Linked DNA regions of Pelodiscus sinensis. The protein of the gene in region 1 purifies or fractionates together with the protein of each later gene. This does not show direct contact. Links are inferred from orthologs where the notes say so. Each region holds a gene or a part of one and is shown in the gene's direction. Other genes may lie near its edges.

Evidence for each region.
Region 2: the proteins of USP18 (region 1) and STAT2 purify together in Homo sapiens (affinity purification with western blotting; 6 studies listed by BioGRID and IntAct, with this or other methods). This does not show direct contact. The link is inferred for Pelodiscus sinensis from reciprocal best matches to the Homo sapiens genes USP18 and STAT2.

The regions. Positions count from the first base shown.
Region 1 is NC_134711.1:110,691,242-110,702,694, forward strand, and holds the start of USP18 (ubl carboxyl-terminal hydrolase 18), read left to right. Parts: upstream 1-6,214; 5' UTR 6,215-6,291; intron 6,292-11,453. UniProt on the Homo sapiens protein: Interferon-induced ISG15-specific protease that plays a crucial role for maintaining a proper balance of ISG15-conjugated proteins in cells. Regulates protein ISGylation by efficiently cleaving ISG15 conjugates linked via isopeptide bonds.
Region 2 is NC_134729.1:3,802,812-3,815,143, forward strand, and holds the start of STAT2 (signal transducer and activator of transcription 2), read left to right. Parts: upstream 1-6,451; 5' UTR 6,452-6,579; coding exon 6,580-6,663; intron 6,664-8,938; coding exon 8,939-9,093; intron 9,094-10,314; coding exon 10,315-10,480; intron 10,481-10,594; coding exon 10,595-10,693; intron 10,694-10,946; coding exon 10,947-11,039; intron 11,040-11,374; coding exon 11,375-11,453; intron 11,454-12,263; coding exon 12,264-12,332. Other genes in the region: APOF (apolipoprotein F), read left to right, coding at 2,013-3,128. UniProt on the Homo sapiens protein: Signal transducer and activator of transcription that mediates signaling by type I interferons (IFN-alpha and IFN-beta).

The DNA.
Region 1 (11,453 bases):
GATCATAGAATCATAGGACTGGAAGGGACCTCGAGAGGTCATCGAGTCCAGCCCCTTCCCCCCCAAGGCAGGACCAAGCTCTGTCTATACCATCCCTGACAGATGTCTATCCAACCTGTTCTTAAATATCTCCAGAGAGGGAGATTCCACCACCTCCCTTGGCAATTTATTCCAATATTTGACCACCCTGACAGTTAGGAATTTTTTCCTAATGTCCAATCTAAACTTCCCCTGCTGCACTTTAAGCCCATTACTCCTTGTCCTGTCCTCAGAAACCAAGAGGAACAAATTTTCTCCTTCCTCCTTGTGACACCCTTTTAGATATTTGAAAACCGCTATCATGTCCCCCCTTAATCTTCTTTTTTCCAAACTAAACAAGCCCAGTTCATGAAGCCTGGCTTCATAGGTCATGTTCTCTAAACCTTTAATCATTCTTGTCGCTCTTCTCTGTACCCTTTCCAATTTCTCCACATCTTTCTTGAAATGTGGCGCCCAGAACTGGACACAGTACTCCAGCTGAGGCCTAACTAGCGCAGAGTAGAGTGGCAGAATGACTTCAAGAGTTTTGCTTACAACACACCTGTTGATACAACCTAGAATCATATTTGCTTTTTTTGCAACAGCATCACACTGTTGACTCATATTCAACTTGTGGTCCACTATGACCCCTAGATCTCTTTCCGCCATGCTCCTTCCTAGATGTGTAGCTGAGAGGCTGGAGGAGGGTACCACTGGAAGAAGGAGAAAAGGAGACAACAACTGACTACTAGGAGGATGAACCAGAGAGAAAGAAGGTGCTGGGGAAGTAGCTCAGGGATCTTTGGGGCTGTCTTATAGCAGGTGTTGGGAATTCACACAGGCAGCTGCTGTTACAGGGCCCTAGGCTGGAACTGGGAATAGAGGGTGGGCCCAAGTTTCCCCCCAACACTCACCTCCCCATTTCCACTTGGGAAAAAGGAATGTGGAGTTGATTCTCCATTTTACTATATGCTTGCCAATGATGAAAAGAGCTCAGCAAACAGCAAACTAATGCCCTTGGGCATGGTGCCTAAAACTGTAGGCTGCTGTGAGCTTTTGGGTGTGTCTAACCTACATGGCTCCATCGATGGAGCCATGTAGATTAGGCTGATCAGCAAAGGGAAATGAAGCCGCGATTTAAATAATTGCGGCTTCATTCAAATTTACATGGCTGCTGCGCTGAGCCGACAAACAGCTGATCAGCTGTTTGTCGGCTCAGAGCGCTAGTCTGGACGCTCCCGCGCCGACCTGAAAGCCCTTTATCGACCTCCCGGTTATGCCTCGTAGGATGAGGTTTACCGGGGAAGTCAATAAAAGGCTTTCATGTCGATGGGGGAGCGTCCAGACTAGCACACTGAGCCGACAAACAGCTGATCAGCTGTTTGTCGGCTCAGCGCGGCAGCCATGTAAATTTTAAATGAAGCCGTGATTATTTAAATCGCAGCTTCATTTCCCTTTGCCAAACAAACAAATCTACATGGCTCCATCGACGTACCCTTTGAGGCAAGCAAAATCCACCAGAAAGTGCAGGACCCACTGAGTTTTCGTAGGAGCTTTGTCACATATTATAACCCATGCTCCCTCCCATCTCCCAGATCTCCATGTTTTTCACATACCTGTGGGCTTTGGTCACCTGCTCCCATCAAACCTAGTTTGAAGCCAGTTTAAACTGGAAGTTCCCAGGAGGTTCTCCATTATCACTGCTGCTGCGTCCACTGAAGGGAGTTGGCTGCTAGGCAACTGAAACCCTGCTAACAGAATTTTGCAACAGGAGAAGGATTCTATACAGCTCTGTCAGAGGGGGTAGAGCTGGCTCACTTTGATGGAGGCAGCAAAAGTGATGGCAGCAATGGAGAACTGCAGTGTTGCCTTTGAAAATCCCATAGATACCTCCTTCCTTCCTATGCCTTCACTGAAGTACCTGGAGGATTTGCACATATACTAGCATTGGAAATTGTTCATAACTTACTTGGCCAATGCCACTAAGGAAATTTTTCCCAGGAAAGAAATCTGTGTCTCTTCTTACATATGTGCTCTGCATAATCTACTACTAGACCGTTCATTTTCCTACCTCTAGGATATAACAAGAGGTTCCCTAATTAAAGGAAAACCTCATTGCCCATTATTTGTAATTAATATATACATCAAGTATATCTTCTGTACATGTTTAAGGAAAGCAATTTAAGATTATTTTCCCCAAAGTACAAAACAAGCAAAAAATCCAATTCTCTCATATGATATTATAAGATGGCCTCATTATGGTGTTAACACACTTCCAAACCCCACCAGCCTGTCCAAATAAAATAGAAGATGGCAAAAAGGCCTGTCCTAAACAAAGGAATGTGTGCTCTGCTTAATTTGCATTTAAGAAGTACACAAAGTTATTAGGTAGTAAAGGAAACAAACAAACCTCAAATAGGTTAGATAAAACCAGCAGGAAAATACTTAGACTCGTTGACTTTTAAAGTCCAGTAAGAAATGATTTTTCAAGAGAGGGATAAGCTATAAAAAGGAGAGACAAACACCACAAGACAACCCCCTCTGTCCCTCTCTCTGCCCATCACATTCTTTGCACCTGAAACACAAGGAAATCTTGCACTGGACTTTGGGGAAGGGATTCCTGAGTTACAGGGTTTGGTCAATAAGACTGCTGAAAGCATTTGATGAGAAACTTTGCCTGAATCTCATAGGCTATGTCTACATTGGCATAATCTTGCGCAAATACTCTTTAACGCAAGAGTTCTTGCGTTAAAGTATTTGTGCAAGAGAGCGCCTACACTGGCATGTGCCTTTGCGCAAGAGATGTGCTTTTGTGCAAGAGCATCTGTGCTAGTGTAGACACTCTCTTGCGCAAGAAAGCTCCAATGGCCATTTTAGCCATTGGGCTTTCTTGTGCAAGAACTTCATGTTGCCTGTCTACACTGGCCTCTTGCGCAAGAACAGTTGTGGAAGAGGGCTTATTCCTGAGCAGAAGCATCATAGTTCTTGCGCAAGAAGCACTGATTTCACACATTAGAACGTCAGTGTTCTTGTGCAAGAACTCCCTGCCACTGTAGACAGGCAGCATGTTTTTGCACAAAAGCGGCTGCTTTGGCGCAAAATCATGCCAATGTAGACACAGCCATATAGTTTAAGTTAAAATGATGAGAAATCCTGTGGCACCGTATAGACTAACAGATTTATTGGAGCATAAGCTTTTGTGGGCAAAGACCCACTTCATCAGATGCATGTCTATTTAAGTTAGGTATTAGTAAACATTTTATTTTTCTTGTAACCATTTTTTACTTTTATGGATCATTTCTTTTACTCACATAAAATTCTCTTTATAGTTAAAGTTGTTTTATTTAATCTGTGTTCAAATTTAAGTGTCTTCTGAATAACTATTTGAGATAATAAAATGGCAAATTATTCCCTTCAAGGAATAACAAACAAAATATTTTGCACTGCCAGGAGAGGATGGAAAGTACAGGACATGCATTTCTAGGGGGGAAATCAGGGACTGGGATTGTGTTGGGGTTACACTGCTGTATAACCACGGCTGATGAAACCCAGGGTGTAACCAAATTGTGGTTGGCAGGCTGCAGTTACACAATCAAGATTTGGCTTGAGTGCTGGAAGGCTGTTTGTGAGCAGCCCAGAGAGGAGCTCCTTTTGCAAAGCATTGTAAGGCATCCAAGGCTGTAGGGGAGGGGTAACAAAAAGTTGATGATTAGTTTGGATTATGCCATAGTAAATCACAGAAACCTCCTGCCAAAGTCGTCAACCTGAACCAGGGTTTCTATAGCTGAACTTGAACTAGACAGTGTGACTTAAGCTTTGAGTTCTTACAATAGTCAGTGTGATGCAGGGACAATGCATAGGGGGGCACGAGGGGACGCATGCCTCAAACACAGTAGGTGAGAAGGGCAAAGGGCTGGGTGGGGCCAGAGTCCCTGGCATCCAGGGGGACTAGTGAGGGGCCTGGAACCTGCAGTGGAGGTCCAGCCTCCCAACACTCACCAGCAGTGGCAGGGAAAGCAAAGCAATGTGGCCCCAGCTTGCTTCACTCTTCCAGCTGTGTTGCCCATGCCTTCACCATCAGGAAGTGGAGCAATGAAGCCGGGGGGCACAGCGAGCTGAGGCCACTTTGCTCTGCTTTTCCCACTGCTGCTGGTGAATACAGGGGGCTGGATTCCCGACCCTGCTAGTCCTCCAGGCCACATCACTCAGGGGAAGGGAAGAGGCAGTATGGGGGCAGAGCAAAGACAGGGAAGAGGGCAGAGTAAGGGTGGAGTCAGGTGGAGCAAAGGCAGGGAGAGACAGGGCCTGAGATGGAGGCAGGTTGGCCTGGTCTTTCCTTGGGCTGTGGGTGAGGGAGTGTCATGTGGTCCACAGCCTCTCAGGTCTGACTTCATCCCTGGCTTGGTGGCTTCTCTGCTTCAAATACTTTTTAAATTCTCAGGCAATTTTATTTGCTTTGGTTCTGCACATTTGGTCCTCACTGAAAAAATTCAGAGACTGAGGTAGGAGATGGAGGCTAAAGAAAAAGAAGCATGCATATCTTTTTCTGGTTGTCTTCCCACCTCCACTAGAGGTGTGTGATTGATAATGCTCCCCTCCCAGCTGGGCAGTGGGTTACAATCACAACGCTTCCTTCACAGTCCCCTCACGTGTTAAAATGTCGATTTATAATCGATCGCTTCTCACAATCAAATGTTTTGGCCGAAATAATAAATTATAATGATAATGATTTGTAATTTATAAAACCTTTATAACTGTATAATTTTTTAGTATGTAATAAGATCATTTTTACCAGTGTTTCCACTCAAATTTTTCATTAACCTCTCTTATGCACCCTCATTTAATGATTATTTTGAACTCCTTTATATTTAAAAAAACCTGCAGTCTACATTTACAATAAAAGCCCACCACTCCCCGCCCCAGAAATTCCTGTGTATAGGCCAGAGTGGCTACTGCTATAGCGATCTAGCCACACTCACCTGGCCAAATAGCCATATTGTTCAAGCCAACTAGCCACCCTCAACTGGGAAAATAGCCACATGTGGCTCATGGCTAGTGTGCCAAACAAAGCTGATGAAGAAAGCATGTCTTAAAAGCAGAAGTCAGTTTGAAGAATTCAGACATAAACATCAGCGGATGGAGACACTCCCACCCCTCAAAATAGTGGGCAGAGGAGACTGAAATGATCTCCTCTGAGCAGTACAGTGATCATCCCTTTGCTAAGTAAGCACCTTTTCTGACAGAAAAGGTCAGGGAAACTTATCATATACTTTGACAACATCCTCCACCCCGTAATCCATTTTTCTGGAACATATAACTTTCAGCCCTACCTTTCTTGAAACTGCCACCTTTAAAACGGATACCTTGCCATCCAAAATGATTCCTCTCCCAGCCACCTCAAATGGTATCCCGTCCCCTTCACATAGCGTTGCCTGAGAGGATGAAATGTCATAACCCTGTCACTCCAGGTTATAGAAATGTAGCCGTGTGAGTCTGGTGTAGCTGAAACAAAATGCAGGACTATGTAGCACTTTAAAGACTAACAAGATGGTTTATTAGGTGATGAGCTTTCCTGGGCCAGACCCACTTCCTCAGATCAAATAGTGGAAGAAAATTGTCTCAACCATATATATATGTATCCTTTGGTATATATGGTTGTGACAATTTTCTTCCACTATTTGATCTGAGGAAGTGGGTCTGGCCCACGAAAGCTCATCATCTAATAAACCATCTTGTTAGTCTTTAAAGTGCTACATAGTCCTGTATTTTACTCCAGGTTATGGGTGGGTCACTCCGATAGCGTGGTGGGGTTTTTTTTTAAAACTCTGACTGCATTTCAAAGCATTTTCGGTGATCAATGACTCCTATGCCAGTGCCCCAAGAGTAGTTGAAAAGTCTCCTTTTCTGTGCCCCTTTCCTTCTTCGCGCCACGCCTGTGGTGGGATTCCTACGCAAGGGAGTGCGGCGGTGAGAGCGGGGCCATTGCTCCTCTAGAGGCCAGCCCTGGCTCCCGGCACCTTGTTTGAGCGGCCGGGTGGCGAAGGGAGGAGCAGCCGCTTTGAGTTTCACTTTCTATCCTCCCAGCGTGTACAGCGGGAAATCAAAACCGAACGAGAGGCTGCGGGGAATGCTGCCCTCTGAGGCCGCGCGGGGAGAGCGCAGCGCCGGCAGAGCAGGGGAAACCCGCGTCGAGAGCGGAGCTGTTGCCGGCTGCGGGCACCGAGGAGAACCCGAAAGCAGTGCCCCGAGCTCGCTTTTCTCACCGACGCTGCAGTGAGTATCCCCCTTGCCCCTCAGAGCTCGTGTGGGAATCCCTTGTGCAGGGCTGGACTTTTGAGGGTACGGCAATTTCTGGAGAAGCGCGCGGCTTCCACGGCAGGAAACCCTCACCCCTCTCTCGGCTGCTCGCTCTAGTCCAGCGCAGGTCAGCGCAGGTTGGCGTTACTGGGTTGCAGACTCAGAAGAAAGACCAAGGTCTTCGAGGAGATGGAAACCTATTTACCTTTCAGCGCTTTAAGTGTTCTCTCCCAGTCAGAGTGGAGGCAGGCTGGCCGGGGGAGCCTGCAAAGTTTGCACTCCTCCACCAGAAAACATCAGCTGCTCCAGGGACCAGCAGTCCAGCAGGTTCCACCCGCTCCCCACTAATGTAACTACATTCAAAAAAACAAAACAAAACCACGGTGTAAATACAAAGTTTCAAGTGGATTTGTTAAAGCTTTTCAGGGGGCACAGAATTATAAAGATCTCTCTCTCTCTCTCTCTCTCTCTATAAAAAACATTACTTTGTAATTAGTAAAAAAAAAATCAGATTCCCATATAACTGTGACCATTATAAAAGTACAATTTTATAGGGTGCATCTTCAGCTTGAAATAAGTGTGTGTCATTTTATGACACACAAATTGAGCATCTTATTTCGAAATAGCTTTTTTCATAATTTGGTGCTGTCTACACAGCACCAAATTTTGAAATGACCCTCTATTCCAAAACATCCCTTAGTCCTCGTGGAATGAGGCTTACAGGGATGTTGGAATAGTGAGCTTGAAATAACAGGCTTGCTGTTAAGATGCGGGATTGGTATCCCAAAATAGTGTTGCAGTGTAGACTTAATGAAGTTTTACTTGAGTTACAAACATTTTTGCTCTAGCAAACCTGAGAGCCCATTGATCCCAGAGAAGAATCTTTTTGTGGGGAATAGACATAAGCCAAGGATACTAGGGGGAAAAAACCCTTTTGCTGAACTATTTCTCCAGCTCTTATGAAGCAGAAGTAGGATTTCCTGTATATAAGAAGGTAAAAGGTACTATAGAAATTATGAGATTTCCTTGTATGAATAATGAAGACAAAATGTGAATATCGGATCACTGGTATTTTGGATGAATATGATTCTCTGGGTCGATGTAAATTTAGTTAACATTTAGTGCAATGTTTGTGAAATATTGAGGAGACATATGGGAAGACTAAATTTCCCTTTAAAATGTAGGTAGATTTATTTAGATGGATATTGCTAACCAGTTTTGTATATAAATAAGCATACCATATAGAAATTGTCAAGTTGCTAACAAAAAGACTGGTCGAAATTATCCCTTTGAATCTCAAACTGAAAGCTATTGAGACCAGTAAATCATTGTGATTTGGAAATTAAACTCTATACTGATTCATAGAGTCCATGGCTCAAAGGGACTATTGTGATTATTCAGTCCTATACCTTGTACAACCCAGGCCATAGAACTTCCCCGCAATAATTCCTAAAGGATGTCTTTTAGAGAAAACATCCAATCTTGATTTAAAACTTTGTCACTGATGGAGAATCCACTACAATGGTAAATTGTTACAGTGGTTAATTACTCTCACTGTTAAAAATGTATATTTTATTTCCAGTAGGGATGTGAAAGCCTAACCGTGTACATGGTTAATCAATGAGCCTGGACTCATTGGTTAACATGCATGGTTACATGCAGCCCTGTCTTGGTATCAGAAGCAGTGGTGCAGTGAGGGCAGGCAGGAGCTGTTCACAGCTCCACCAGCTCCTGGGGAGCCACCTGTCCCCTCCCCCACACTCCTGCCTCTGATACAGTGTGGGGTGGGAGGTGTGGGGTGGGAGGTATGTGGAAGCTAGTACTGGCGGGGAGCCATCTTAAAAACTGGCTCCCCATGTGCACTGACTTCTGGGGAGCAGTCTCTCCCCTGTGTGCAACCATGTAACCACTGAAATGTTCAGCAGTTACGTGTTTCCTTGAATACACACATTTTACTATCCCTAATTTCCACTATGGATTTGTCTAGCTTCAATTTCCAGCTAAACTCTGATTGTATTCTGCTCAACTTCATGCAGCATGGGGAAGGGCTGGCAGCATGATGGAGCTGATGCTGTGGGAAACCAGCTTTTAAGATGGCTTCTCCCAGCACTGGCTCCTGCCTCCCCCTCTTCACTGCCTCTGTAGGAGGCAGCGGAAGGGGTAGGCGGGTCTCCAGAGCCAGCATGTGAGGGGAACCTGCTTGAAAGCTGGGTTCCCATGTGTATCAGTTCCAGCCTGCCTCTCTTACCCTCCACACTACTGCCTCTCTATCGGAGGCAGTAGCACAGATGTGGAGGGACAGGCAGACCTGGTGCTCGGGGGTGCCTGCTTAAAGCTAGCTTCTCATGGGCACTGGCTCCTGCTCCCCTCCTTGCTGCCTCTAATAAAGAGGCAGCAAAAGGGTGCGAGATGCATGTAGTCAACAAGATTAACTGATAAGCCCAGGCTGATCGGTAAATTGTGTAGTCAACTACACGTTTATCCCCATGTCTGAATGTTCTGAGCTTGATGAGTCATTTGAAGTAGCTATCTATCTGAGTCCAAAGAGTCCAGCCCAGGGGTGGGCAAAGGAGCCTACTGGCTGGATCTGGCCCACCACGCTGGTGGACCTGGCCCATGGCCATCTTGCTGCTCCCCTGTTCCCAGGCCAATCAAGACCTGAGGACGAGGGAACGGATGAAGTCTTCTCCCCCTGCCAAGGGTGCACAGCGGCTAAAGAGAAATGCCGGTTCTTAAACAGCTGGCGTTTCTATCTAGCTACTGTATGCCCCTAGCAGGGTGGAGGCAGGGGTCAAGAGACTTTGCATGCTCCCCCCACTGGATCTTACTGGGTTAAATGTGTCCAAGGTCATACCTCAATGCGCCCCATATGTACAAACATTCCATAAGGGATGGGCAGCATAGCTAAAATTATGGTATATTGACAACCCCATAAGAAAAAGAAACCCAAAGGGTGTATTGTAAACTGCTTTGGGTGGAACTGGATTAGAAGTTGGAGTACTGGATGCCACTAACATAGAGGTATTGACAAACAAACGTACTAAATTGTTACAGCTGAAATACAAGAGTTGGGAAAGCCTGTCAGTGCATCCTTATCAAAATCAAGAATGGGAATATTGCCAGTATGGCAACAGCAGAGGGAAAAGGGTGTGTTACTGTTAGCAGGAACTATGGGATCTATACAAGTAAATATGTCCCTAGCATTGGCCTGTACACAGGCTTAGAAAATAAGTCAGCAATTGGTCATTCAATAATACAGGAAGGTGTACAAGGAAATTTGTTTTTGGAAATAAGAAAACTGTTGAGGGAAAATGTTACAGAAGGGGAGAAACAATGGCATGGTGGAAATTGGTAAATTTTACCTTAAACAAAAATCAAATGCTTCTACAAGCATCTATAGTAACTGTACACCCTAACCCAGGGGTGGGGAGCCTTTTTTGGGTGGGTGGGTGGGCGCTGACCCATAAAAAAAATCAGTTGTGAGGGCCACATACAAGTAAAAAAACAAACAACCCCACACTGACTGAGAAGGAGAAGGACGGTCCCCGCCAGTGTTCCCTCTAAGCTGGTGGCTCTCAGACTTTTTGGCCCGTGGCTCAATGTCAACCTTTCCATGGACCATCAGTTGCTAATGGAAACTCACTGTTAATTACAGAAGTATGCACAGGCCATTTTGCTAGTGCTGCAGTTAGGGAGACTGGTTTAATTTAAATGATTAAATAGATTAAGCACTTTACCTTTCTCATGTTAGTTTTCCAAACTTCATTTTAAATAAAGTAAAATATTAATTTATGGCTGACACAAAAGATTTCAATGTTTTCTTTATTCATGGTGGGGTAGGGAACCTTTTGTGTCAGGGGCCACTGACCCACAGAAAAATCAGTTGAGGACTGCGCAAGTGAGAATCAAAAACTCCTCCAGAACCCATAATTCTCACTGATGTGGCCCCCAACTCAGACACCACACTCCTTTGGCATTCCATAGGCCAGATTTACTTTACTGGGGTTCTGGAATTAGTAGATTTTTATGGATCCCCTCAGGCTATAGGGTGGGGATAAAAATGAGGGGTTCAGTGTGTGGGACAGAGCGGCCAGCAAATGGGATATGGATGGGGTGCAGGATCTGGGAGCGAGGTGGGGTGCAGAAGCAGGCTAGGAGTAAGGTGTCTGGTCAGGAGAGAGTGTGCAGAATCTGGCTGGGAGGGAGGGTGCAGAAGTGGACTGGGGGGTAGGATGTCTGGTTGGACAGAGAGATGGGGGCAGGAAGTGCCTGGGGCTAAACCTGAGGAGCAGAGTGGCTGAGGGGGTTCAGGGAGATGGGGGCGGCCCAGGTGCCCCTGGGAAGAGGGCTGGGGTAAAGGTGGCTCAGGAGGGTGTTTGGGGAGGTCAAGGTGGCTCGGGGGTGTCAAGGGAAATGGAGGGGCAAGGAGGCTGGGCACAGCAAAGCAGGGGTGGGCAGGTAGGTGTCCCCGAGGTGTCCAGGCCTGCAGGGGGTGGGGTCCCGCAGGGGTCCAGTTCATGGCATCCCAGAGCAAGTCCCCATGGGTGCAAAGCCCAAAAGGGCCCCAAGCCCTCACCTGCCTCCTGTGTGTGCAGGATCCTCAGTCCCAGCTGCTTTGCCTCCCACCACCACCGAGCCCTGCACAGCCCAACCTGCTGCCTAGGAAGGGGAGCGTGGGTGCTGGCTGCTTGCACACCGTGGGAGTCTGCCTGGCCAAACCCCGTGCAGCCCAATCTGTTACCTGTCCTGCAGGACCAGCTGAGGGATGTGCCGCTCTTACCATGGCAGTGGCGCTCCTCCATGTGTAGCTGTGTGCTCTATGCGGGCTGGGCTGGAGTTTGCTTTCTTCACCTCCCCTCCTGGCCGGAGCTGATGCTGCAGCCCCACGGTGGCATGCCTACCATGAGACTGCAGCAGCAGCATGGGTTCCCTGCTGCATGGGGGGGCGGGGGAGGAGGGAGGCGGGGAGGGGAGCTCCTGCTGGACTACACTTTGAGAACCACTGCTATAAGCAGTGTGGCAGCACAACTTCACAAGTGATTACTCAGCCCCACCTAGTCATCTCAGCTCCAGGCATGGAGCCCTGAGCCTCTGAATGGGCAGGGCTGATTAATCACCTGTGAAGCTGTGCTGCTAGG
Region 2 (12,332 bases), on another chromosome or scaffold:
GGCCCAAGGCTGAATTGTTTCTTGCCCCTCGTGTGGCTGCCTCCCCCAAGGGAGTCACCGGGAAGTGGCCTGCCTGGGGGCTGCAGCCTCACGTGGGAAGGGGGCATCTTGGGGGAGGGGAGACCCAGGCCCAGCCCCTCTGTCCTGGCCAGGCCCAGATGCCCCAGTGTCCACCCAGCAGGACACAGACCCCTCTGCCCCCCCCCCCCCAAATCCCAGTGGATTGAGCGTGGGAACCCCCCCTCCCCCCCAGGAGGTGCCATGATGCCTGGGGCTGGATGGTGGATCTGCTGGGGCCTGTCAGCCAGCCAGGAGGGGCCCCTGCTGGAGCAGTAGGGCTGGATCAGTGGGGCTGGAGCAGCTGTGCCTTGGTGTGCTCAGCAGAGGGAGGCGTTAGTTCTGCTGGTGCCTCGCTGCGCCCCCAGAGGCCTTAACGCCCCCCTCCCCGGGTTGTTCCCTGCGTGGGGCCTGCACCCCAGCCCCCTTCCTCGTTTAGTTTCCAGCAGGAGTCGCGCACCCCCCCCCCTTGTTTGCTGTGTCATTGCGAATGGGCAAAGGCCAAAATAAAATGGGCTGAACCTGCTCCCTTATCTCCCTGTTGCAATGGGGGGTTCTGAGCGCCCCTCCCTGTGGCAGCCCCAGGCTGGGGGTTGGCTCTGCCCTCCCCCGCACTGCCTCCTGCACCAGAGCTGGCCTGAGGAGGGGGGCCTGGGCCAGCTTCACCCACATCTCGCTGCCCTCCCCTCCCTCCCAGTCCCCACCTCCCCTGCTGCCTGCCCCACAAGGGGCTGGCCCCCCAGCCTGAGGCTCCTGCACCCGCCCCGGAGAGAAGGGAGCAGGGACCGGTGGGCTGATCAGCTGCCTGATAAGGGGGCCCCTAGCCTAGTGACCTCCCCCCGGTGGCCTATAAGAGGGGCCGGGCGGGCCAGGCATCCTACCATCCCTCCCCGCACCCAGGAGCTCCTGGTCTCATCTGTCCCCAGGTGAGCAGAAGCCCTAACGCCGCTGCTGCCGCGGTTTGCTCTCGCACGGGGAGGGGGCACGTTTACACTAGGCCTTTGCACGAGCGTCAGGTGCCAAAACCCGATGGGGTGGCTCTCTCACTGGGGGGGGGACTGTTATGGGGGGGACTGCTATTACATCATTCTCCCCCCTCAGCGTGCAATTCCCTGGCAGTGGGGGGGGGGGGGGATGCCCTATTTCCTGGGGGGGATGGAAGCTCTATGCTGTGTGGGTCCCTTGGGCTGAATCGAGGGTGGGAATTTGCTCCCTGCCCTCCCCTGGATGCTGATGTTGGTGAGCAGTCGGGAGGGGGGGGGCTCTTTTCCAACTCAGGCAGCCCAGTGCCCTGGGGGAATGGCCCAATTGGTGCCTACCGGCCTCACTGGTTCCTTGGGGGGGGGTGCACCCTGCCACCCGGTTCAGTGCAGCTGCTTCTAACTGCATAGGAAAGGAGGGGCCTGTTTTGCTCCCAGAACCCATCTGTGTTGAGGGACCACCTCCCCGTGCCCAGCTCCGGGGGGGCCCCCTTTGGGCTCCAGAGGCTTGGGGGTTTGTCGGCGCCCTTGCTCCCAACCTGCAGCCACCTGCTCGCGCCAGGCTGGCGTCCCTGCCAGAACGGTCCCAGCTGCTCCGGTCACACTTCCTGTCTGCGGATCTCAGGGTGTGGTAGAGATGGGGAAACTGAGGCACAGAGCCCGGCAGGCCAAGGGCAGAGCTGGGAGCAAGACAGGGACCTCCGGCATCCCAATGCTGTGTCCTGTCCATTAGGCCACGCTGCCCCCCTACCGCTCTGCAGTGACCCCCGTTCCAGTCCCCCTCCTAGCCCAGCCCTGTGCAGCTGGGGCATGGCTGGCCATGCTGCCGTGCTCCAGAGGACAAAGATTGGTCCCCGCCCCCAGCTGTGGCAATAGCAGCAGATCCTGGGTGGCAGGGAGGGGCTCTGAATTCTTGTGTCTGTGACGTGTCCCCTTCAGCAGGGTCTGCGCTGCCCCCCGAAGGACCTGCCCGCCATGCACCCGTCACTTCTCTGTTTCTGCCTACTCCTGCTGGGCCCTGAGCTCGAGGGGCACTTGCTGCTCCCCACAACTCGCCCGGGAGGCGCCGCTGGGACCCTCAAGCCCCCAGGCCTGGCTGTCTCCCCCTTCCCCAGCGGCCAGCGGGCTGGGGCCAGGGCCTTGCTTGGCTCCCTCCCATTGCAGCTTCCCCAGCCGGGGCTCCCAAGGAGGGGTGTCTCCTGCCCCGACTTGCTGCCCGCAGCCCTGGAGGGTTTCTCCGAGCTCCCACCGCTGCCCTGGAGCCTCGCCAGCGCAGCCTTGGCCCTCTCCCTCCAAGGGGCCGGCTGCCCCCACCAGGCCGAGGCGCTGGTGCTGCAGCTCTACGAGGCGGTGGGGACGGACGATGCCAACGCTCTGCTCCTGGGGGTAGCGAGCCTGCCCGGAGCCCCCAAGCAGGGTGGGAGAGGCCGGGCCGCCTTGCTCTTCAATGTGGATCAGCTGGCAGGCGTGGACCCCCAGCGCTGCTCAGGGCTGGCTCGGCTCGACTCCCTGCTGCTGGGCCCGGTGGCCAGCACCCATGCCACCTTCCCCGCCGCCGCCGCCGCCTGCCGCCAGCTGGGGGCTGCCTGTGCCGGCGTGGCGCCCAATGGCACCGCTTTCTCCGTGATCGACCGGCACGGCGCCTACTCCCTGCCGGGCCGCGGGGCCCCAGCCTGGCTTCACCGCTGCAGCCGGGCCGGGAGGAGCCGGCGCGGGACCGTGGCAGCCTGCGGCAACGCACGGGAGCAGAAGGTCCACAGTGTGCTGCAGTGGGTGCCCGTGGTCAGCACGTACTACAACGTGGGCACCAGCATGTACTACGCCTTCCGGAACTGCACCGAGCTGGCCCAGGACCGGGGCCTCGAGGCCGCCATGGATCTGGGCTACGACGCCCTCTTGGGGCTGACGGGCGGGATGGGGAGCCCCATGGCCGTGGGGGCGGCCTTGGGGCTGAGGCCAGCATTCAAAGTGGGCGTGCGGTCTCTGATCAGCTACTTCCGGCAGGTGGCGCCGGCTGAACCCCTGCCCACGAGCTTCTCTGGCCCCTTCAGGGTAGCCACCTCCTTCCCACTGGGAACGCGGCGAGTGTGAATAAACCTGAGCACCCCCCGTGCTTTGATCCTAGTGCCGGTGTCTGTGATGGGGGCAGCTGGGGGGGGGGGCATGGAGGGGAGCTGCCTTATAGCCAGCCCAGCTTCAGGCCTAGCCAATTGCACCCTCCTACATGCAGCGAGGATGCTGGGTCTCAACCCAGTCCTGCTGGCCTGCTGTCTCAGCCACAGCAGGCATTGGGGCTGGAGTCTGGCCTCAGGGGAGGTGGGAAGGCCCTACCCCCACCATGTGCCTGCGAGCTCAGCATGGGCGCCTGTGCATGAAATTGACAAAGGGCTTATGACCTCTCGCCAGGGTTAGCCTGACCCAGACAGCCAGCTGCCAAGTGTCTATAAAGATCAGCAGGGCTCAAAGGTGCTGGCTGAGCAAATTTCCCCCAGTCACGTGGCCTGCCCGGCCCAGCCTCGTCCTGCCTAACGCAGTTTGTTACCAACCGGGAAAGCGTGGGCTAGTGGTCACAGCAGGGTACGAGGCCACCTGGGTTCTGGTCTTGACTTGGGTGCATTTATCAGTCCCCAGCCTTTTGACAAGTGCGTTGAGAGCCGAAGCTACACGGCAGGGGCCCTGGAGAGAGCGCCAGCTCCCTGCCCCTGTGAGCAAACCCTGGCCCCTGCAGTGTGCCCAGGACCAAGGTGCGGCGCCGCGTCGGGGAGCCCCCGACCCTGCACCCCTGTCTGCAGCCGGATGTGAGACTCAGCCAAGCTGCAGAACAGAAGGTTGATTTGCTTCCCAGAGATACAGGGCAGCGCAGGCTCGACATTGACACAGGAGCCAGGGCAGAGCCTCGTCCTCTCGGGGGAAAGGGGTTCACAGGCCCTGGATTTAGTCTGCTTCCTTCATGCTTCCCTCTGCCAAGCCTGCCCAAACCTCCAGCAACTCAGCCCCCCGGCAGCCGCACCCTTTGCTTTGTTTCAGGTTCCACTACCTAGCCCAGGTGTCAGGGTGCTGGGGGACGGGGACACCCACGCAGAGCGTGTACAGCACACCCCACTACTCACACCAGCGCAGTGCCTGGGCTCTGGGGCCAGCTGGCTAGGGTGGAAACATCTGCCCAGCTGCAATGACGGATTATTGGAGAGACCCATCCCCAGGCGGAGGAACCCAGCTGCTCCCCGGAGCCGCGTCACCCTCCCATGAGCAGCGTGGGCTGGGGCCTGGCCCAGAAGGGGGAGGAAGATTAGAGAACCGTGCAGCACCAGCCTGGGCAGAGAGGAGCCCCTGCAGCTCTGCATAGGGCCATGCGGGGCTGGGCCTGGCATCCCCCTTTGGCTGGGCTGCATCCTCGCATGTCCCTGGGGCGGGGGGGGGGACGACACTGCTGGTACTGCAGGAGCTGATTCATTGCCCAAAGACCATGCCTGCCCCTCCTCTGCAGGGCCAGGGAGAGCCCCGGGCAGGGACTACTAACCCCTGGCAGGGTGATGAGAGAAGGGGGATGTCCCTCAGCAGGGGGGCAGTGGAGGGGCTGGAGGCTCTAGGGGTTAGGGCTGGCACTGGGGGGCTCTGGGGACTGGATGCAGGGGGGCAGCGGAGGGGCCGGCACCGACGGGCTCTGGGGACACGATGCAGGGGGGCAGCGGAGGGGTCGGCACTGGGGGGCTCTGGGGACGCGATGCAGGGGGGCAGCGGAGGGGCCGGCACTGGGGGGCTCTGGGGACGGGATGCAGGGGGGCAGCGGAGGGGCCGGCACTGGGGGGGCTCTGGGGACGGGATGCAGGGGGGCAGCGGAGGGGCCAGCACGGGGGGGCTCTGGGGACGGGATGCAGGGGGGCAGCGGAGGGGCCGGCACGGGGGGGCTCTGGGGACGGGATGCAGGGGGGCAGCGGAGGGGCCGGCACCGGGGGGCTCTGGGGACGGGATGCAGGGGGCAGCGGAGGGGCCGGCACGGGGGGGCTCTGGGGACGCGATGCAGGGGGGCAGCGGAGGGGCCGGCACTGGGGGGCTCTGGGGACGCGATGCAGGGGGGCAGCGGAGGGGCCGGCACTGGGGGGCTCTGGGGACGCGATGCAGGGGGGCAGCGGAGGGGCCGGCACTGGGGGGCTCTGGGGACGCGATGCAGGGGGGCAGCGGAGGGGCCGGCACTGGGGGGCTCTGGGGACGCGATGCAGGGGGGCAGCGGAGGGGCTGGAACCGGGGGGCTCTGGGGACGCGATGCAGGGGGGCAGCGGAGGGGCCGGCACTGGGGGGCTCTGGGGACGCGATGCAGGGGGGCAGTGGAGGGGCCGGCACTGGGGGGCTTGGCTTGGGGTGTTGGATTGGCCCCCCCGCTGGGGCCTGGGCTCCCCAGTGGGGAGAGTGGGCGAAGCCGCCCCACTCTGCGGGCCCCGCCCCTCATTCACTCTCTTAGTATAGCTCCGCCCCCTTTCCGAGGCCCCGCCTCTTTCTCCCCTGTTACATCATTTCTGGGAATTCAGTAGGCTGGCTTCGGCCCCGGGCTCCGGTCTTCCGCTTAGCGCCTCCCCTCCCGCCGCCGCTGATGGAGGGAGGCGTGTCCTGCCCCGCCTCTCAGCCAACCGGCGTCGGGCAGGGGCGGGGTCTCCTCCCGGAGGAGGAAGAGCGGGTCGCTGCGCGGTGGGAGGGTCGCGCGGAGGCCGGCACGGCAGGCTTAGAACACCAGCGAGCCGGGCAGCCTCGGAGCCAGGTGAGGGGGGCGGGGCAGGCAATGGGATGGGGGCTACTAGGGGGCTGGGGGCTCTAGTGGTTAGAGCTGGCACTGGGGGCTCTGGGGCTGGGTGCAGGGGGCAGTGGGGGGGCTGGGGGCTCTAGGGGTTAGAGCTGGCACTGGGGGCTCTGGGGCTGGGTGCAGGGGGCAGTGGGGGGGCTGGGGGCTCTAGGGGTTAGAGCTGGCACTGGGGAATCTGGGGCTGGGTTCTCTAGTGGTTAGAGCTGGGGCTGGGTGCAGGGGGCAGTGGAGGGGCTGGGGGCTGTAGTGGTTAGAGCTGGCACTGGGGGCTCTGGGGCTGGGTGCAGGGGGCAGTGGGGGGGCTGGGGGCTCTAGTGGTTAGAGCTGGGGCTGGGTGCAGGGGGCAGTGGGGGGGCTGGGGGCTCTAGTGGTTAGAGCTGGGGCTGGGTGCAGGGGGCAGTGGGGGGGCTGGGGGCTCTAGTGGTTAGAGCTGGGGCTGGGTGCAGGGGGCAGTGGAGAGGCTGGGGGCTCAAGGGGTAAAGGCGGCACTGGGGGGTTCTGGGGACGGGGCTGGGGGCAGTGGAGGGGTGTCCGGGGGCTGCTGTCGCTGCCAGCTGATGAGTTGTTAAGGAGCAGTGTAAGCCCTTTTTACCTCCTCACAGTGCCCCCTTTATGTGGGGGGTGGGGCTGGTACTGGGGGTTCTGGATGGAGTGGGGCTGGTATTGGCGGTTCGGGGCTGGCTGTCATGGTGCCCTGCCCCCTGGGGCAGGAGTCTCCCGACCAGTGTTAGCCCCACCCCTCCCTCCATGAACCCTGTGGAGCAGGGGGCAGGGCTGTCATGGCGGGGGTGCAGCTCTGGGCAGTGGTTGGCACTTGCAGCCCCTTGGCAGGTAAGGCCCGGCCCAGGGAACGTGCTCTGTGGGGCAGACACCGCCCCTCTCTGCATGTGATGCAAGCTGCAGTTGACTTCCTGGCTTCCCCCTGGGGAGCCCGGTCAGGAGTCTGATCACCCGAGCCCCTGGGTGAGGCCAGAAACCGCCTGGCCTGGCCCTTTCTGCCCTCGGGTGCACCGAATCCCTCCTCAGCCTATCCTGAAGGGGTTAGCCCCAACCCCGCCGGAGCCGAGCCAGGAGGGAGGGCTGGGGACATGCAGAGGCGAGGACGTGGGTTGCACTCAGCCGTGGGTGACAGGCTTTGACGGCAGGGCACCTGGTGCCTCACCTGAGCCCTGGTCTAGCCAAGCCCTGGCACGCGCGCCCCCCCCCCCCATCTCCCTTCCCTCGGGGGTTGACAGGAGAGCAAATTGCTTTTGCAGCTGGGAGCAGGACTCGGGCCTGGGTGGGGGGGCATGTTTGGAAATGGCTTCACGCGCTGATGGTGTCAAGTGGCTGGGTGCCAGGGAGGGTGGCGCTGAAGTTCAAAGGCGGAACTAGGGGGTGTTCAATGTGTGGCGCTCAGCTTTGACTGCGCCCCACAGCCCCTGGGCTCCCCTCAGCTCTGCCAGTGCCCCTCGCTCCCAACGCCCAGCCTTGGGCCCCCCCTCGGCTCCCCCTTTTAGCTGAAGGGCCCCGGCTCCTCCCAAGGATTTGTGCAGTTCCTGCCCTTAAAGACCTTCCCCAGAGCGAGCGGCTCTGCAGAGGCCCCCGGAGCCCAGTGAGACGGGGTGAGGGCTTTGCAGGAACCGGAGGGCTCATTTCCTGGCACCCCCAAAGCAGCCCAGCTTTGCCCCCCAGCTTACGGCCCTCGTGCGGGGGCCCTGCGGCTTGGGGCCTGTGGTTTGTGTCTGCGGTTGAGTCTCCTCTCCTAGTTTCACATCCACAGGCTGCTGCTTTGTCCAGCTTGCAGACGCTCCCATGGAGGGATGCAGGCTTGGGGGGGGGGTCCAGCCGCTAGGCCCCTGTGGCCATAGCGGGCGGAGGCTGGAAACTGTCCTAAATGACCTAGGGAGGCATCTGTGCTCTGACAACTGCTGCTACATCTTTCCTCAGCTTTGATTTCCTGGTGGGTTCCCTTTATGCCGGGCTGGACTGGCAGGGGCTGTGGGGCAGGAGTGAGGGGCAGGGGCTGGGGGGGCAGAGGCTGTGGGGCAGGAGTGAGGGGCACTGGCAGGGCTGTGGGGCAGGAGTGAGGGGCACTGGCAAGGCTGTGGGGGCAGGGGCTGTGGGGCAGGAGTGAGGGGCGCTGGCAGGGGCTGTGGGGGGCAGGAGTGAGGGGCACCGGCAGGGCTGTGGGGCAGGAGTGGGGGGCAAGGGCTGTGGGGCAGGAGTGGGGGCACAGGCTGGGGGGGCAGGAGTGAGGGGCACTGGCAGGGCTGGGGGGAAGGAGTGAGGGGCACCGGCAGGGCTGTGGGGGGCAGGAGTGAGGGGCACTGGCAGGGCTGTGGGGGCAGGGGCTGGGGGGGAAGGAGTGAGGGGCACTGGCAGGGCTGGGGGGGCAGGGGCTGTGGGGGCAGGAGTGAGGGGCACTGGCAGGGCTGGGGGGGCAGGGGCTGTGGGGGCAGGAGTGAGGGGCACTGGCAGGGCTGGGGGGCAGGAGTGAGGGGCACTGGCAGGGCTGGGGGGCAGGAGTGAGGGGCACTGGCAGGGTGGGGGGGGCAGGAGTGAGGGGCACCGGCAGGGTGGGGGGGGCAGGAGTGAGGGGCACCGGCAGGGTGGGGGGGGGCAGGAGTGAGGGGCGGGGGCAGGAGTGAGGGGCACTGGCAGGGCTGTGGGGGCAGGGGCTGGGGGGGAAGGAGTGAGGGGCACTGGCAGGGCTGGGGGGGCAGGAGTGAGGGGCACTGGCAGGGCTGGGGGGCAGGAGTGAGGGGCACTGGCAGGGCTGAGGGAGCCAAGGGCTGGATTCTTACCCAAAAGAAAGCCAGTTGCTAGCATGAGCTATGAATGCTGGGGGGGGGCACAGGCAATGGGGGTCCTCCAGTGCCATTCAGCAGCCCCTCTCCACACAGCCTGGGGCAGCTGCCCCGTGTGGAGTGACCCTGCTCTGTGCTGCTGAGGCCCTGGGGGAGCCGGGTTCGAGGCAGCGGCAGCGGCTGTTTCCCTTCCCAGCGGTGGCTGCAGAGCTGGGACCGACCCATCCCCGAACGCAGGCTCCTTGTGCCCCAGGAGGGGGAGGCTGCTGTCCCAGCCCCTGGCCCCCACTCACCTGCTGCCTGGGTTTGCTCCGCAGAGGGGGGCTGGCACGGCCCCCAGCATGGCTCAGTGGCAGGAGGTGCAGCAGCTGGAGAAGGCCTACCTGGATCAGGTGCACCAGCTGTACTCGGACGACCACCTGCCCATGGAGGTGCGGCAGTACCTGGCGCCCTGGCTCGAAGACCAGAACTGGTAACGGCCAGCGAGGGAAGGGTTAATGGGGGGGGCAGAGTCAGCAGCTGGGACCCACGGCAAGCGCTGGGGACGTCTCAGATTGAACCGGGGGTGGTCTGGTGTGGGGGAGGGGAGTGACACCCCCACAGGCAGCCCTGCGGGAAGGGGGAGCAGGAGAAGAGATGCGACCCTCAGGCACCTCTGCTGGCATGCCCCGGGGGTCCCCGCTGGAGGGGGACGGGCAGGAAAGGGACAGTGCAGCCCCAGGGGTCCCCGCTGGAGGGGGACGGCAGGAAAGGGACGGTGCAGCCCCGGGGGTCCCTGCTGGAGGGGGACGGCAGGAAAGGGACGGTGCAGCCCCAGGGGTCCCCGCTGGAGGGGGACGGCAGGAAAGGGACGGTGCAGCCCCAGGGGTCCCTGCTGGAGGGGGAGGGGCAGGAAAGGGACAGTGCAGCCCCAGGGGTCCCCGCTGGAGGGGGAGGGGCAGGAAAGGGACAGTGCAGCCCCAGGGGTCCCTGCTGGAGGGGGAGGGGCAGGAAAGGGACAGTGCAGCCCCGGGGGTCCCCGCTGGAGGGGGACGGCAGGAAAGGGACGGTGCAGCCCCGGGGGTCCCTGCTGGAGGGGGACGGCAGGAAAGGGACGGTGCAGCCCCAGGGGTCCCCGCTGGAGGGGGACGGCAGGAAAGGGACGGTGCAGCCCCAGGGGTCCCTGCTGGAGGGGGAGGGGCAGGAAAGGGACAGTGCAGCCCCAGGGGTCCCCGCTGGAGGGGGACGGCAGGAAAGGGACAGTGCAGCCCCGGGGGTCCCTGCTGGAGGGGGACGGCAGGAAAGGGACAGTGCAGCCCCGGGGGTCCCTGCTGGAGGGGGAGGGGCAGGAAAGGGACGGTGCAGCCCCGGGGGTCCCTGCTGGAGGGGGACGGCAGGAAAGGGACGGTGCAGCCCCCGGGATCCCCGCTGGAGGGGGAGGGGCAGGAAAGGGACAGTGCAGCCCCGGGGGTCCCTGCTGGAGGGGGACGGCAGGAAAGGGACGGTGCAGCCCCGGGGGTCCCCGCTGGAGGGGGATGGGCAGGAAAGGGACAGTGCAGCCCCGGGGGTCCCTGCTGGAGGGGGAGGGGCAGGAAAGGGACAGTGCAGCCCCGGGGGTCCCCGCTGGAGGAGTGGGGTGCAGCCCGGGCTCTCCCGGCAGCGCGGGGCGGTCTGGGGGCGGGGACCCTGCAGTGCGCCCTTGTCTCTGCCCCAGGAGCCAGGCAGCCGAGCTCCCTGTGTCCGAGTCCCACTCCTCCCAGGCCCACATGCTGTTCCACACCCTTCTGGCCATGCTGGACGACCAGTACAGCCGCTTCGGCACCCGCCAGGAGGACTTCGTGCTCAAACACAACCTGCGCAAGTCCAAGCTCAACCTGCAGGTGGGGGCCGGGCTGCTGGGGGGAGAGGAGGTGGGTGGGGTCCAGGGGGGTGGGGCAGGGTGTCTGTGCCCCCCCCCCCCCCCCCCGATCCCAACGCCTCTGGCTTCCTTCCAGGCCAAGTACCAGGAGCGCCCGGAGGAGCTGGCCAACGTCATCGCCAACCTGCTGCTGGAGGAGAAGGCCATTCTGAGCAGGGGCCATGCAGCCCAGCAGGCAAGGCAGGGCAGGGGCCGATCCCTGGGCTCATAGTGCCCCCCCCAGCAGCACAGTGCCTCCCCCACTCCCTGCCAGACCAGAGCCCCCCAGTCTGCCTCCCTCCCTCCCTGAGTAGTGACCCCCTCAGCCTGGCTTCCCGCCGCGCCCCCTAGTGCTGTATTGGGGAGAGCCCCCTTTCCTGGGTAGCCGGCCCACCCCCCTGGCTCCGGCTGGGGGGCTCAGGGGCCCGTCTCTTGTGCGTCCCCTGCAGGCGACAGCTCCGCCACCGTCCAGCGCCCCCATGGAGACAGACCGGCAGCAGAAGATTTCAGGGCGCCTGGCGGAGACCCGGGCAGCGGTGCAGGTGGGTATGGCCTGGAGCTCGCCCGGTGCCCTCCCCAGACCACCCCACGCTGGCAGGAGAGGGACAGGGGAGCCTGGGCTGCACCCCTCTCCTCCAGCGGGGATACCTGGGGCTGCACTGCCTCCCCTCCTCCCTCTGGGCGCTGGTTCCCCTGCATCCCTTCCCCACTGGGCCTTAGGTGCAAATGCCTCAGTTTCCCGGTGTGTAGGGAGCCTGGGGCCCTGCCCCCAGCCCATCCTGAACATGTGGCCAGATGGCTCCGACCCCGGACCCAGCCCCAGCGTGCACCCCAGGCTCTCCTTCCCCCATAGCCGGTTCCCTTTGCCCCCTGCCAGGAGCTGGATCGCACCGTGCGGCACCTGGAGGAGCTGCAGGACACCTTCGATTTCCGCTATAAGGTTCACCGCATGGCGGGTGAGGAGCCCGGCTGGCTGGCGGAGGGAGGGTGAAGTGGGGGGGGGGGATGGGGCAGCAGAGGGGGCTGAGCAACCCTGGGGGTAGGCGTAGTCGGGGAGGGGGGGGTCTTCTGCTTGCTCCCCCCAACATGCTCCACGTGCAGGCGGGTTTCCCGAGGGAGGGCAGAGCCGCCAGGAGGGCGCGGGGTGTGGGGGGACAAGGAGACCCCTCCCCAGAGCCGCCGCCGCCCTCCCTACCTAATGTGGTGCTAGGGGGCTAAGGCCTCCTGTGGCGGGGAGGGGGCTCAGCCGGGGACACTTCCCCCTTGCAGTCAGCGCTGCCCCCCCCCCCGTATCCCAGCAAGCTGTTAGGGGGCTGGGGAGGGGGCCCTGTGTGGCAGGGGTTTGGTGGGGGGCTGTGCGGTACATGGCTGGGAAGAGGTTTGGAGGGGGCGCGGTGCTGCACCGGGGGGGGTCTGTAGGGGGCGCGGTGCTGCACCCGGGGGGGGGGGGGTCTGTAGGGGGCGCGGTGCTGCACCCGGGGGGGGGGGGTCTGTAGGGGGCGCGGTGCTGCACCCGGGGGGGGGTCTGTAGGGGGCGCGGTGCTGCACCCGGGGGGGGGGGGTCTGTAGGGGGTGCGGTGCTGCACCCGGGGGGGGGGGGTCTGTAGGGGGCGCGGTGCTGCACCGGGGGGGGGGTTTGGAGGGGGCGCGGTGCTGCAAGGGGCTGGATGGGTGGGGGGCCCTCCCCAGCTGTGGGGCTAGGGGGCAGGTTCTGTTCCTGCCCCTCCCCCCCACCCCCCACCTGCGAGCTGCCGCTGTCTCTCCAGCAGAGGGGGCTCCCGCCAGCCCCGAGCTGGCCCGCCAGATGGGACAACTGCAAGTCCTGCTGAACAACC